Linked DNA regions of Macaca fascicularis. The protein of the gene in region 2 binds, or shares a complex with, the protein of the main gene of each other region. Links are inferred from orthologs where the notes say so. Each region holds a gene or a part of one and is shown on either strand. Other genes may lie near its edges.

Evidence for each region. The genes of interacting proteins can lie anywhere in the genome.
Region 1: the proteins of PTPRG (region 2) and CNTN4 are in contact, whole or in part, in a crystal structure (PDB 3KLD), measured with the Mus musculus proteins. The link is inferred for Macaca fascicularis from reciprocal best matches to the Homo sapiens genes PTPRG and CNTN4. Residues at the interface, in NP_033007.2 of Mus musculus: Lys222, Val225, His226, His227, Lys229, Phe288, Thr290, Gln293, Asp294, His295, Val296, Lys297, Ser298, Val299, Glu300, Tyr301; in NP_001103219.1 of Mus musculus: Thr128, Arg129, Ser130, Val132, Ser133, Arg135, Gln138, Gly139, Met140, Val141, Leu142, Leu143, Cys144, Gly145, Val219, Met220, Gly221, Glu222, Tyr223, Glu224, Pro225, Lys226, Glu228, Leu250, Asn304.

The regions. Positions count from the first base shown.
Region 1 is NC_088376.1:141,285,946-141,289,508, reverse strand, and holds the end of CNTN4 (contactin-4), read right to left. Parts: intron 2,311-3,563; coding exon 2,210-2,310; 3' UTR 154-2,209; downstream 1-153. UniProt on the Homo sapiens protein: Contactins mediate cell surface interactions during nervous system development. Has some neurite outgrowth-promoting activity. May be involved in synaptogenesis.
Region 2 is NC_088376.1:124,649,013-124,653,258, forward strand, and holds the start of PTPRG (receptor-type tyrosine-protein phosphatase gamma), read left to right. Parts: upstream 1-1,409; 5' UTR 1,410-2,131; coding exon 2,132-2,216; intron 2,217-4,246.

The DNA of each region.
Region 1 (3,563 bases), about 17 Mb from region 2:
AGGGTTGTCAATTCCAAAGGAATAGCTCTGGGTCATTTAGATTTGGGTAGAGACTTTTGAGTCCCTCTATGATCCCAAATTATAATTAGCACAAAGGTAAGCTAACAAATTCCCTGACAGGCAGGCAGGAAAAATGCTCCCAAAAGACAAGTATCTTTACAAATGACAGAATATTTATTAACAATACCTTTAAAAAAGATTACATATGCTAGATCACTGGTAAATATCATTTACACTGGGGTTGGGAACTCCCTGGGTGTCATTTTTTTTTCATTCATTTTATTATTTTGTTGATTTTTTTGCATGTGATTTTAAATTTTATTTTATTTTAACATAGAAGTAACCATATCAAACTAAGAAAGGAACACAGCTTGAAATACTGACAATATATTTTTTTTCCGGTTACCACCCTAGTTTTTACACAAATGGAATCCTGATTATGACTTTATTGGATAAATATAAGTAGAAGGTTGAAAAGTTATATTATTTGTAAGCAAAAATGACAAATTACAGCAGATTTGAGTTCTCTGAGAAAGAAGAAAAGGTGGCAGCATGTTTACATGAGAAAATGTTTATAGAAAATTTCATTGCCTTTTATGTCACTGTTCCACTAGCGTTTGCTTACAAAACCTTTCCCATTGTAACAAATAGTTCTTTTCATAAGAATACAGTTTTGTTGATATTGTCATTTTCCAATGTGTGATTTTAAGAGTTAGAAGGTAAAGTATATAAAGCAACTAGGCTACCTATTGCAAAACAGAATCATCAAGAAACCATACCATTGTACTAAAGATCTTTTATAGAGTCATATTAAAAATTCTTGGCCGGGCGCGGTGGCTCAAGCCTGTAATCCCAGCACTTTGGGAGGCCGAGACGGGCGGATCACTAGGTCGGGAGATCGAGACCATCCTGGCGAACACGGTGAAACCCCGTCTCTACTAAAAAATACAAAAAAAAAAAAAAACTAGCCGGGCGAGGCGGCGGGCGCCTGTAGTCCCAGCTACTCGGGAGGCTGAGGCAGGAGAATGGCGTAAACCCGGGGGGCGGAGCTTGCAGTGAGCTGAGATCCGGCCACTGCACTCCAGCCCGGGCGACAGAGCCAGACTCCGTCTCAAAAAAAAAAAAAAAAAAAAAAAAAAAAAAATTCTTGCAGCAACTATTTGTTGAAATAGGAGAAATCTTCCAAACTCCATATGTAATTTTGATTCAAAAGAAGGGCTCTATTATTACAGAGATACACATATTATATATAAGAAATTTTGTAAAGAAATTACGAATCCATTGACAGAGAATTACTTTTTTTTAAAATTTACATTCAAAATAGATACAGTTAAAGATAATAAAATTATCTTTTATCCTTTGAAAGACTTGGTTGACTATAGTAACTTTTGGTCTATGTTACTACAGGATATATGTTACTTCAAATTTAATGTCTAAGATAGTGCTACTACAAAGACAATGCTAACTTAGTTGAGTGAAAAGAAAATCTTACTGTACAATGCTAAATTCAGGGATGGGAATATTGCACAAGGTGCCTCTTGGGCAGTAAATTTAGCTTTTGAGATTGCAGCCATTCCTGAAACCATCTCAAGTTGTATTGAACAACAAAATTCACAACGGCATGGGGAACATATTGTACATGTCAAAAGGACTTGATTCAATGCATTAACCACTAGAAGAGTAATTTGCATACAGCAGCCTTGAGTTATAGACCAAGTCTTCAGCTGTTCTGCCACGAGATCCTTGTAAAACTGTACAAGTAATTTGCAATTTATTTGCCAAGATGAGTTTCAAACTCTGTCTTTAAAGGAAATATTTTCAAATTATAATTGCATGATTGTGTTGTCCATAGCATTTTACAGCTGAGGAAAAACAGTAATATCTACATTATGTGTTAACTTTAAAAAATTCTATAAAACACTAAATATGTAATAAAAAATATGCATATAAGGACATATGTAAACTGCTTTGGTAACATCATATTACAGATGTCTTCAGTGCATTGCAGAGTTTCCAAAGAAACTTCAGACAAAGCTAGATTTGCTTTGAGGAAGTACTGTATAATGCCATTCCTAAAGAAGCAAAAAACATTTTTATTCCAGTAATAAGATGTACTTGAACAACAATATTACTTAGTACTGGGTGTCTTCAAAACAACTAGCTAAATGTTGCTTATATTATAAACAGCAAGTCCTTGAGATAACTTTTGTCATAAACTGGACCTAGCTGTGAGGGAAATCATTATTGTACTGATGGCTGACAGCGTACATGCATTCGAAGTGGAAGCCCCGGATCCTCTTGCGTAGGCATCTGAAAAGAGAGAACAAATTCACTCAAAACAGCCCCATCCTGGCTTCAAAGGGAAGAGCGGCCACGGGGCTTTCTGAAACAGCAGAACTGCGTGGATTCTACTAGAAATGATGATTAAGATCTTAATGGCTTTTAAATATCAGTTCTATGACTATCTAGCTACGAACCTGCGAGTAGGGTAGAGGACAGCCCTGTACCTCTGTCAAAGCATTTGTAAAATAAGGATGTTCCCATCTAATGTGAGAAGAAACTTCAATATTACTAGTAACAGTACTGATAGATACCATGCCACGTCAATGATGCAACAAAATGAAAATTGCTACTCCCTTTTGAACTCTATGAAAATTGCTACTCCCTTTTGAACTCTATGAAAATTGCTACTCCCTTTTGAACTCTGCGAAAATTGCTACTCCCTTTTGAACTCTTTGTGCTGGGCACAGATGAATATGACACTTAAATCTTGCAAAAACTGGATGAAGGCTAGGTATTATTACCTCACTTAACAGATGTGGTAATTTGTGCCCAGATCACCCAGCTAGTAAATGGCTGAACTGGGGTTCAAACCCATGTCTGTTTAAATCTACCCTTTTTCTCCAAACAAAATAGCCTCAATCCTTTTTACATTTTCTTATGGGTCTTACATTTTTCATAGTAAGAAGCTATCAACTGTCATTCGGGGGCTCTTCAATCTTGTAAGATCTCTTTGACCAACCTAATGAAAAATTCCTTGAAACAGATCATGTTTGGCTCACAGTCACTTCCTTGTTACCTAATAATTACACCAATATAATTGCTTAATATATGTTTTTGTAATGAATAAAACCAGGAATCATCAGTCTACCTAAAAATACCAATCCCTGCAATGATAAGAAAGCATGAAGTACAAAGTCAGATTTTTAATGAAGTGAGATAAATAAATCCCAGTCTTGTATTTTCATGGCCTGGAGATTACTTCCACATCTCACCAAAAATCTGGCTCCCTTTCAACAGAAGTTAGAGGCTTTGTTTGATGAAGTGTAGAATCCATTTGTCCCTGCTTTTAAGACAAAAATGCCTTTTGTGTTTGTATGAAAAAAAAAAAATGCAGTAAATATAAACTCCATCCAGAAACACTGGCCTATCACCCCTTAGCAGAGGGATGTTACATGACTAAAAGTCAGGATGGTGGTGAGGATTTTGTCCATAATTTAAAATATCATCTCTTTACCGATGTCTTGAAAATTTATATCTCCAGCCTTCAATGCTCCCCTAAT
Region 2 (4,246 bases):
CGAGACCAGCCTGGCCAATATGGTGAAACCCCGTCTCTACCAAAACAAACAAACCAACAAAACAACAACAACAACAACAACAACAACAAAAATAGTCGGGCGTGGTGGCGGGCGCCTGTAGTCCCAGCTACTCGGGAGGCTGAGGCAGGAGAGTCGCCTGAACCCGGGAGGCGAAGGTAGCAGTGACCCGAGATCGAGCCACTGGACTCCAACCTGGGCGACGGAGCGAGACTCCGTCAGAAAACAAAACAATCCCACGTCAAGATCGCTTTGAAACACGGGCAGAAAAACTAGGCAAAAATTTTCCATCGGCTAATTACCTTGGCTCAGTTACACATTTAATCAAAAGCCCGCCTCCCCCACTTTTAGCCCCAGCGTAAGAATGTAAAATAGGGCGCTTAGAAGTCTAAGCGATAAAGATCTTCTGACCGAGAGCTAAGGGACAAAACTCATTACAGATAAGCCTAGTCCTCCCATTTCCCCCGGACGCCTCTCCCAGATTGCTAAAGAAGCAGCAGCTCCCCGGGTGGCTGCCAGGAAATCAGTACAGCCCCGCGGCAATGCTTTCACCCTGCAGGGGGTAAGAGGCGCACTTCCTGCGCTCTCCCCGCGGCTAAGCCGGGGTGCGGGAACCTTCTCCAGAGAAGCTGTGAGTTGGGGAAACTCCGCCACCGATCCATCGTGGCGCGGAGAAAGGAGATGTGGGGCTCGGAAGGGCTAGATTTCGCAATCCTGGGTTCGATATTCCTCCCCTCCCCCACTTTCCCCAGCCTTGGACTGGGCCAATGAAAGCCTGAAAAGGAAAAAAAAAAAAAAAAATTAAATCTCAACGTAGTAGGAGTGCAAAGGCCGCTCGGCTTTGTTTCCCGGCGGGGGAATGCGCTGTGTTGGAGGCGCGAACAGGGGCCGCGGACGGGTGAGCCCCACCGCGGCAACTGCCAGGAGGTGAAGCCGAACAGGAAACCCCATCGCTTTAAAAAGGCAGCTGTCCGCCCTCCGCCTTTCCCCGCGCCCGGGCCAGGGGCCCGGGATCCGCGAGCTACGCGGACGGGGGATCTCGCCAAACCCGAGCAACGTGCGGCGTCTTTTAAGAGCTCAAACAACGGGAATCCTGCAAAAGACACGCCGGCTCCAGAAGGCAGCCTCCCTTCTCTCTCCGAGCACGGGCTACAATCGCCCCCAGTCCTCAAACTGTCCCAGTAGAGGCCGCAGCCACCGGTGCCGCGCGGAGAGAGCGGAGCCGAGGGACCCCGTGCTAGGCGGGAGCCGAGCGCGGCTGCTTTAAGAGCGCGGAGAGCGCGCGCCCGCCAGCTGGCCCGGGCTGCGCGCCCCCGCCACCACCGCGCGCCCCCTGCTCGCTCGCTCGTTCGCTCGCCGGCTTTAAAGTCTCTGCCAGGATCCATGCTCACATGTTACTTCCTGTATGGAGGCATGGCCAGTTTCCAGCCCCGCGCTCTTCGTTCCTCCCCAGCCTGCGCCGGAGCCACAACTTTCAGGAGCATGGACTGAAGGCGCCCTCGCCCCAGCGCCCCTCTGAGATCCTTTGTGTTTTCCTCCGTTTCCTCCGGCCGTTTCTATTTTGGGGGGCTCTCCGCTCCCCCCGCCTCTCCCCTCCCCTCCCCTCTCGCAAACATGCCTCCTTCCTTCCCGGGGCCCTGGAAGGAGCTGCCTGCCTGAAGCCCGGAGACGCCGCGCCGCGCTCAGCCCTGCCGCCGCCCGCCGGCTCTCGGGCTGTGCTGCGCTGCCGACTCAAGTTGGGGATCCTCGGCTGCTCGCCGCCGCCGCCGCCGCCTGCGGTCCCTGCCTGCCCCGGGCCCGGGGCATCGCCGCCGGCCGCCGACTCCGCGCCCTGTCCGCTCGGCTCTCTCCTTTTTGAACGGAAAGCAGCCCTTCTCCGCCGAGAGGATCGTCCCCAGCGTGGCTCTGCGTTCCCGGTCACTTTTTGAGATTTTCCGGGGGGCGCTCGGCGGCTTCCCGGATTCCAAGGGGACTCGGGCCGCCGAGCGCGGGGGGCCCGTGGAGCGGGCGAGCCGGGGAAGCGCCCCGGCTTAGCGGAGGCTCGCACGGAGGCAAGAACTTATTCAACAAGTTTATCCCCCTGCTTTCCTCTTTTCGATGTGCGTTTTCGGACATGCGGAGGTTACTGGAACCGTGTTGGTGGATTTTGTTCCTGAAAATCACCAGTTCCGTGCTCCATTATGTCGTGTGCTTCCCCGGTGAGTGCCGGCCGCCGAGGGGACGCGGCCCCGGCCGGCGCGCGTTGGGGATGCAGAGTTGTCGCCTGGGCGCGGACCTCCGGCGCCCGTCCGGGAGACCCTGGAGAGGGTGGAGGGTGGCCCGGCGCCCGGGGAGTAGAGAAGGATCTGCTCCGCTGGCTTGGGCGCTGTTTAGGGAGGCTGGCTGGTGGTCGAGGAAGGTGGAGGCAGGGGCCGGCCGGGGAGGGGCTGGGGGACGCGGGGATCTGCTCCCGTTCCGTTTTGGGGGGCCTGGGGAGCTGGAATCGGGAGGAAGGGGTATTTCCTTTGCTGACTCGTCGCCGATCGGGAGAATTCGAGTTGTAGGGCGGTTGGGGAGACTGAGGCCATGGAAAGGATGCTTCTGTGGGTTTTGGGGGACCCGGGATGAGCCCCCTCGCTCTGGCGGGTATTGAAGGAGCTCAGAAGGTGGGGGTTTGCTTTGCTGTTCTCCACCCCTTTGGGAAGGCTAGGTTTCGGGGAATGGAAGTCGGAGGCTGGCCGCGGAGGACTGAAGATGTGGGGAGCAGCCTGCGTTCTGGGGTCGGGGGCGCCCTCCCCCGTTCTCGGGGCTGGGGCGCGGGCAGCCCTTCGGTGCCGGCGTGAGGCAGCCTCCTTGGGTGCAGTGAGAGGGCAGGGCGCAGGCGACTAGGGGAGATCCGTGTCTCCCCTAGCCCCGACCGTGGCCCCTTCCCTCCGCTGCTCTGCTCGATTGGATTGCCGGGGTCTGGACGCGGGGAGGGGGCGGGGGCGGGTCGGCGGCCGGGTTGCAGTTCGCGCTTGGGCGGATTTTTTCCTGTCTCGCGCGCCTTGCCTACCTTCATCTTTGCCCTTTTGCAGGCTGTTCGCGGCTGGCAGCCCCAGAGCCGCCCCTTTCTGGCCAGGTTAAGACAGGAACAATATTGGCCATTGATAACGAGAATAAATCACCGCACGTAACGGTGTGAGGCTCGGCGACCCTCCACTTCCAGCCCTCAGCTGGCAAGCCCCCTCTTCTCTCCTCTGGGGAGGGCAGAGGCCAGCTGCCTCCCTCTCCTCTCTTGCAGCTCCCCTGGGCAGCAGCCCCGAACTCCCTCGTAGCTGTCCTGCTCCCTCCCTGGGGGTGGAGGCCAAGTCCTGCCCTAGCCCGGGGAAGGTCTGGAAGAAAGGGGGCGATTGGCTTTTCATCCCTCGCTCCCCTAAGGACAGAGAATTCCCCGTTTTTCTGTCCTCTCATTCGTCAGCTCCTGGATACCCGGAGGTGGAGGTTATCTGAATCAAGAAAAAGAGGAACGTGCCTCGAGGTCTCCGCTCTGCTTGGTTACAGCCGCCTGTCCCCGGGCGGCTGGAGCGCCCGTTTTTGGTGCAGCGGGTCCCTTAGTCCCGTCGTGCGCCGTGGAGCAGGGCGCGGGAGCCCTCGTCGCTCTCGGGGATCCCTCTCGGGGGACTGGCAGCGAATGCCCCCTTTGCAGAGTCGGGGATGGCCTCGAGGGGCAGAAAGGCAAAGCACCGTCTTGTCTTCTGCACCCTCTTTTCTCTCTGCGCATCCTCCTGCCTGCGGAGCGGCACGGAGCTCCAGCCCAGAAACGCAGTCCACACTCACCTTGGGGCCTGGGGGTTTGCCCACTGGAGTCCTCCCTCTACGGTAGTGTAGGCCTTGGGGACACCTCCCGTTAGAAACAGCTGCCTTCATTCACTTAAAGACTACTGCTCACTATTTGGGTTAATCATCTCCCCCTGCTAGTCTCCCCTGGTTTACCACGGACTTGCCGGTTGAGCGGGCTCAGGTGCACACGGGTTGAGCTTTGTGAGGGCCACTCTTTAATGGATGCAATGGGAGGCCGTGGAGGACAGACTTGCAAATTAGAGGAATTTCCAATTCCACTTCTGTCCTTGCGCTCGGGGATGCAGTCAGTGGGCTGACTGTGGTTTTCTTTTCACTGGTGTTTGAGGAAGCTTGAGATCCAAAATGGGACTGCCAGGGAGCGTGCTTTCGTGGGGCTTGGACCATTTTCGTCTTCTCATTTTCTTTT